Linked DNA regions of Saccharomyces cerevisiae S288C. Changing the gene in region 1 together with any one later gene gives a genetic interaction. Each region holds a gene or a part of one and is shown on either strand. Other genes may lie near its edges. The genes, in order: LDS2 and LDS1.

Region 1 (3,892 bases):
GCAATAGTGACAAAAATCAGGGCATAGCAAACCGCAAACAGTAAAATATGCTTCCAATAAACAGGATTCGTCAGCACTTCATAAAACCCCTACGGTTAACAAATAAAAATTAAATATGTTAGTCATAAAACAAGTCATATCAATGCAAACAAAAATCATGTACTTACTAAGAATGGGTAGATAAATGCTCTTGAGTTGAAAATTTCTTTAATGAAGTTTTTTCTAAGCAGTTCGTATCTCACTTTCATTGTTGGTATCGTTTCAGGAAACCAAATATCAAACTGTCTTATGAAAATCTTTAGCCAACGACTTACGTTACTTTCCTTTGAAGAACTGTGTTCTTTGAATTGTCTTTTTAAACGTTGTGGCCCCTTTTCTGCAAGGGTCATAGAATTAGCATATGTGGCGTGAGAAGCCTGGCTGTGACTTATAAGCTCAATTCCGGCTTTCATCCTTAGTTTGTCTTTACAGCCAACCAGGGGTCCTCAGGGATATACCTTGCCCTTTTTTTCCTTTTTTTGACGTCCCTTCACCTTTCTTGAAAGTGATTTACTTTATTTAGGTTTTGAAGTTCCGAGTGTAACCACCCTGATTTTCATAAGTCCCCTGATTTCCCAAATTTTTTATGCATATACAAATGTTGAAAAGAAACGAATATTATTAGCAAGTAATATATAGTATATAGTATATATATATATTTATATATGTAAACATATAATGAATATATAAATTGGTATGTAAAAGAGTTGCGAGCTTCATGGCGGATTAATGTGAGCTATAGATTGTTGGATTGGAGGTGCATAGGATCCTACAGTAGGCTCTTCTGGTTCCGCAGGAGGGGAAGGAGGTACGGCTGGCTGGTCCCGGTCTTTTATCTCTTTAACTATCCAAAGCGAAGCACCTACTGCGTTTGTTCCAATGAACAACCCACCCAGAATGGGAATAGACTCTAATAAACCGCTGGATATCGAGTAAAGGAGCCACTTGGCAAAGCCCTTGTAGTAAACTTTGGAAAGTTTGCGCGAATCCAAATGTAGCACGTCAACAAAATAAGGCTCAAAATAGTAAAATCCCATTCCGGGGCTAAATGGTAGCATATTGATTGTAATTGGACCCACTATTGGAACGAGCAACAATAAAAGAAACATAAAGGCTATGAAGATGTACCAGAAGAAAAAAATGAAAAACTGCGGCAAAGAGACGAGGTAAAACCGTTTCGAAAAGAGGCCACCCAAACGATGTGACCTTCTGTAGACAAAGGGCGTGAAACTTATCGTTTCACAGGCTTCACTCAACTCTGTTAATCCCTTTCTTGCGAACGTCACTCCATAAATACGTGTGAAAAGAACGAAATCGGTACCCTTCACCATAGAATTACATAGCGTTGTGGAAATCAGAATAGTTTGCATATAAGCCAGAGGTAACGCAAAGAGTCCGAGAAAGGGCAAATAGATGCACACTAACAAGGACCACGCAAGGATTGACGTAAACGCAACAATAAGCAGGAGATTCAGCAGGTAGTATCCAAATATTAGGAAAAATAGATGCAAATAATCCGAGTTTCCCACGGATTCGCTAATTCCCTTCAAAGGCGGTTAGTATGACGGCTTAAAAAACATGATCTGCTTATTGGAACATCAACATACTTTATACGGATACCAGATGATCTGGTGCGACGACTCTAGGTCTTTCCAAAAATTGTCTTTAACAAGCATAGCATTCTTGTACCATCGAACTATCGGAGCCTTGTATGCCATCCAAATTTTTGATTTCTTATGGTTCCCTTGGTCTTGGATGGGGAGTAATTGTGGTTCCTCCCCTTCTGCCAGTGGCGTAGAGGCATATGGATGTCTATGGTAATACCAATCAGGTTGGGGTCTAGTCGACATGTTTGCTTGGTGTCTTAGCAGCTCTTATAGTTCTAATGCTATAACTAAGAAAGTAATAATAATAATAATAAAAAGCTTTATATAATGTTTTATTATGGAAGTTTCGTTTTTGTGGCGCGACGCGATCAGCCAAAATCAGCGGAAAAATTCGTCGGAACATTTTTTTCTTTTTTGGCCAAGCTATTGTTACAGGTGGGGCAGGGGCAAGAGACGATATGTCATCGCGAAGCTGTAAAGACACTTGTCGAAGTGATAAAGCGCAAGAGCTGTTTGTCTACGGAACCAGCAAGTACTATCTAATAGCGTGTTCCAGAGAATAACAGCATTTTTCAACTTCTTTCTCCTGGTGTGAGTAATCAGTACGTGAAAAGAGAACGAAGTTAAAAAAAAAAACAAGAAAAAGAAACAAGATCAAAAGAAACGATAAAGGCTGGCTTATAAAATAATAGCATCGCGAACGATCAATAAGGGGCCCTGTTTATTTTTAACAAAGTTTACATATTTCGTTTTCCTCTTTAAGCTGACATCACGTCTATACCCTGTTTTATTCCTTGTTAGAAACATAACGGAGCAGGTAGTAACAACAACAGTATAAACTATCATAAACTTTTTTCCTTCCTTATTGGTGACTTTTAACACTTAGAATTCTAAGTCTGGCAAGAACAGTAATCATACTTCTTTGCAGGGCGTTTTATTGTTACTCCTCTGCCCTGCTAGATTAAAGTAAAGAATCATAAACAAAGAACACAATGACATACCCGGTTAGTGCAGCCGCTCCTGCCGACATTTCATATTCTAAAAATACCCCGTTGGTAGGGCTCTCTAAACCTCCATGCTTGTACCAACACGCTTCCTCGTCCGTCGATTCGTTTTCGTCAACATTCAGTGATGATGATCGTTCGGACCTTGTTGCTGTACCTAATGAGTCGCCGCATGCATTTTCGTATAATCCCATATCACCAAACTCACTGGGAGTAAGGTTGACCATCTTAAGAAGGTCTTTGGAAATAATGGTAAACAGTCCTGACATCTTACATGAGTTGAAGAAAAAAGCACCCGTAATAGCATACCCCCCCTCACTTAGACACACAAGAAACTTAACAGAGACTGCCACGTTATCAGCATCGCGAGATCCGTTAAATGGGTCTCTAATTTCACCATTAGTATCCAATATGCCATCTCCTGCTAGTAGACCCGTGATACAGAGAGCAACGTCCTTAATGGTGTTGCCTGATAATGATACTGCCAGTAAACTGAATCCAGCCAAGTCCGAGTTAGAAAACTTGTTATTCTTGCTAAATTTAGCATTGGAAAACAATTCCTTCGAAAGAGCTTCCGATTTACACATGCTATCGTTATTGAATATCAAGAAAATAAACTTTGATTCAGACATTCAAAAATCAGAAACTTTGAAAAAGGTTTTATTAGATAGTTTAGCAGAACCATTTTTTGAAAACTACAAGAAGTTCCCTCACAAAGATTTAGGTTCGAAATCGCAATATAATGAATATGAGGAGAAACACGATGATATAGTCTCCTTAGCAGACATCAAACCACAACAGGACTATAGCCGAATTCTTCATCCTTTCACATCTGCAAAAAATTCTGGTCCAGAGGCCATTTTTACATGTTCTCAACAATACCCCTGGAACTTCAAAGCTGCCAATGATTTGGCGTGTCTAACGTTCGGTATATCAAAGAATGTTATCAAGGCACTTACTTTACTAGACCTTATTCATACGGATAGCAGAAATTTTGTTCTAGAGAAAATCATGAATGCAGAAGATGATAACCAAGAAATTGTGTTTACCGGAGAAACTATACCTATCGTCCAGCCAAATTCGACAAGCAATAATAATGTACCAAATCTGATTTGGGCTTCACTATGGGCCAAGCGGAAGAATGGCCTACTGGTCTGCGTATTTGAAAAAACGCCTTGCGATTACATTGACGTCATGTTAAACTTGAGAGATTTTTCAGTGGACAGCATTATTGATACAACA
Region 2 (3,653 bases), on another chromosome or scaffold:
ATTGTTGACAAACAGGAAAAGGTGCTGATATTTTCCTTATTCACTCAAGTCCTGGATATTCTAGAGATGGTTTTGTCCACCTTAGATTATAAATTTTTAAGATTAGATGGTTCCACGCAAGTGAATGATAGACAACTACTAATAGATAAGTTTTATGAAGATAAGGATATTCCCATTTTCATCTTATCAACAAAGGCAGGTGGATTCGGTATTAATTTGGTGTGCGCAAATAATGTTATTATATTCGATCAAAGTTTTAACCCACATGATGACAGACAAGCTGCTGATAGGGCACATCGTGTGGGACAAACAAAGGAAGTTAATATAACCACTTTAATTACTAAGGATTCCATAGAGGAAAAGATTCATCAACTGGCCAAAAATAAACTAGCTTTAGATTCGTATATCAGTGAAGATAAAAAATCTCAAGATGTGTTGGAAAGTAAAGTTAGTGATATGTTGGAGGATATAATTTATGATGAAAACTCGAAACCGAAGGGAACCAAAGAATAAATAAATAAAAATATAGTAAAAAAGTAAATAGATAAGCAGAAAATAAACCAAAAAAATAACATATTTATTTTCTTCTGCGTGAACGCACCATGTGGAAAAAGAGAGTTGATAGAACAAAGGACAAAGAAATTTAGAACGGTAAAAATATTTTCTAGAGTATAATATACATATATGTGTATATATACATAGGTTAGTATGTATAGCTAGGTAATTTTAATCTGGGGAGAGAAATGGTGAACTTTTTTCAATTTATTGATTCGGTTGTTGATTGATATCTTGTGGTGCTGCTTCAATTTCAGCTTGAGTTTCTACTAAATTTTCAGGGACCATTGGATGATCAAGGTTAAATAAAACGCTACCAATAGTATTTGTAGAAATGGCAAAGCCCGCTAAAATGGGCACGGACTCAATCAAACCGGCCAAGAAACCAAATGAGGCATATTGGCCAGCGTGGAGATAAATATTTTCACGTCTTTGTATGTTGTCGAAATTTTGTAAACGTAAAACTTTCGTGAAGTAAATTTGAGTGATGAAAGGAGAAATTAAAATATGAAAAAGGATTGGTCCAATAAGTGGGAAAAAAGATATAACCAACAGCACAAAAAGAACCGACAGGCCTAACATGTACTTGACCAACTTGAATGGGAAATAGTAAGCCCAGAAATATATCGAGTTAATAGGTGCATAGTACTTGATTGGTTTGACTTCACTCAAATTCTCCTCTAAACCATTCTTCTCTAAGCACACCTCCACTAAATGATTATTAAAATGACTGAGTCTCATAAACAATAAAGTGAAAACATTTGCTTGCAAAAAGGAATGAAAAATGGCAATGAAAAGCCCAATAGGGCCCAGCACAATCAAAAAAGCTGTGTACATTGGCGTAATTGTAGCCCAATACACAAAGCTTACCAGGGCAAACATTATCAAGTAACTCGATAATATACCTAACATAGTCGTTGAGTAACTGCTCTTATTGGTGTTGAACTCTAAAAACCCTTTGAACGGGTACATGAATGCACCTCCTGTGAATGCATCTTTGAAAAAGTTCATTAGCACGTATCTGGTACGGCTCATAACTTTGCTGAAGTGCTTCTTGTAAACTTTATCCAAGTACTGATTGAAGGGGATGTTGACATATGGCAGTTTTTCATACGATTGGCCTCCGCCAAACTTGTACACCAAACCACCAATACCTGCCAGCGCTAATGAACCTGTAAAACTCATTTCCTGTTGTTGTTATTGTTTGTATAATGTACCTTTGTTCCCTACACTATAACAACACTTATTCGTGGCAAGAACGAAAATAAAAAATGATTTGAAACTTCCTTTTCCACATCTATATCTATATATATATGTATATGTATAATACTTATTACTATGATATTATTCCATGTGTCACAAAACCAGAAAGATCCCGTCGTATTATTGAGTCACGTGCTTTATTCCATGGCGGGTAATAAATATTAAAACAAGGGTTTTTTAAGTAAATGATTACATGCTAAGGAAGTGGTGAATAAGATTTGGCAAGGGGCAGGTCGCTAACCACAACATAGCATTCGTTGAAAAGGAAATCAACGTTACAAAGTGCAGTTTTTTGTATTATTTTCCTATTATCCTCTTCTTTTCCTTTGTTTCAGGCGTCGTTGCACCTTTTTGCTATACAAAAGCTCATAAAAGATTAGAAACCCCGGATATCGTCACAACAGCGGTATATTATAGTTATTTTGCATCTTTTTGGTAAGTCAGAAATTAGAAACAGTAGCTTACCAATTGAGTGAAAGTTTCCGTTCGTCATCTCCCTCTTTTGTTTTTTTTCACCTTTGTTTTTCTGTTTCTTCTATTTTTGTTTTGTTTTGTTTTGTTTTGTTCTCTCCCTAATTTGCATATAGGTAAACATCAAAGAAGTAATGCCCTACATCGGTGCTTCCAACCTCTCAGAACATTCATTTGTTAATTTGAAGGAAAAACATGCGATTACACATAAAGGTACGAGCAGTTCTGTAGCATCTTTGCAGACACCACCGAGCCCCGATCAAGAGAACCATATTGACAATGAATTAGAAAATTACGATACGTCTTTAAGTGACGTTTCAACCCCGAATAAAAAGGAAGGTGATGAGTTCGAGCAAAGTTTAAGAGATACATTTGCGAGCTTTCGGAAGACTAAACCCCCACCTCCTTTAGATTTTGAACAACCAAGACTTCCTTCGACAGCTTCTTCATCCGTTGATTCAACCGTATCATCGCCCTTAACGGATGAAGACATAAAGGAGTTAGAGTTTCTTCCGAATGAATCAACTCATTCTTATTCGTACAATCCACTTTCGCCAAATTCCCTGGCAGTCAGATTGAGGATTTTGAAGAGATCATTGGAAATCATAATACAAAACCCAAGTATGCTACTGGAGCCTACTCCAGATGATTTGCCTCCTTTGAAAGAGTTTGCGGGCCGTAGGAGCAGTTTACCAAGGACATCGGCTTCTGCAAACCATTTAATGAACAGAAATAAGAGCCAGATTTGGAACACTACTTCCGCTACTTTAAATGCATTTGTAAATAATACCTCTTCCTCCTCAGCAGCATCTTCTGCTTTATCTAACAAAAAACCGGGCACCCCAGTTTTCCCTAATTTGGATCCAACACATTCTCAAACATTCCATAGAGCCAACTCGTTGGCTTATTTACCTTCCATCTTACCTGAGCAAGATCCGCTGCTCAAACATAATAATTCTTTATTTCGTGGCGACTATGGAAACAACATAAGTCCTGAAAGGCCAAGTTTTAGACAACCCTTCAAGGATCAAACTAGCAATCTCCGCAATAGCAGTTTACTCAATGAGAGGGCATATCAGGAAGATGAAACTTTTTTACCGCACCATGGACCCTCTATGGATCTATTGAATGAACAAAGAGCGAACTTGAAAAGTCTTCTGAATTTATTAAACGAAACACTGGAGAAAAATACTTCCGAGAGAGCTTCGGATCTTCATATGATATCGTTGTTCAATTTGAATAAACTAATGCTTGGAGATCCCAAGAAAAATAATTCAGAACGCGATAAAAGAACTGAAAAGCTTAAAAAGATTTTGCTGGATAGTCTTGCAGAACCATTCTTTGAGCACTATAATTTTATTGGA

Evidence for each region.
Region 2: of LDS2 (region 1) and LDS1, changing one enhances a phenotype caused by changing the other (phenotypic enhancement), as found in Saccharomyces cerevisiae (one study listed by BioGRID).

Annotation. Positions count from the first base shown.
Region 1 is NC_001147.6:240,859-244,750, forward strand, and holds LDS2 (Lds2p), read right to left. Parts: upstream 1,890-3,892; coding exon 1,647-1,889; intron 1,584-1,646; coding exon 756-1,583; downstream 1-755. Other genes in the region: RRT8 (Rrt8p), read right to left, coding at 1-89, 168-452; serine/threonine protein kinase PSK2, read left to right, coding at 2,639-3,892. UniProt on the Saccharomyces cerevisiae protein: Involved in spore wall assembly.
Region 2 is NC_001133.9:117,802-121,454, forward strand, and holds LDS1 (Lds1p), read right to left. Parts: upstream 1,741-3,653; coding exon 763-1,740; downstream 1-762. Other genes in the region: DNA-dependent ATPase FUN30, read left to right, coding at 1-513; serine/threonine protein kinase PSK1, read left to right, coding at 2,424-3,653. UniProt on the Saccharomyces cerevisiae protein: Involved in spore wall assembly.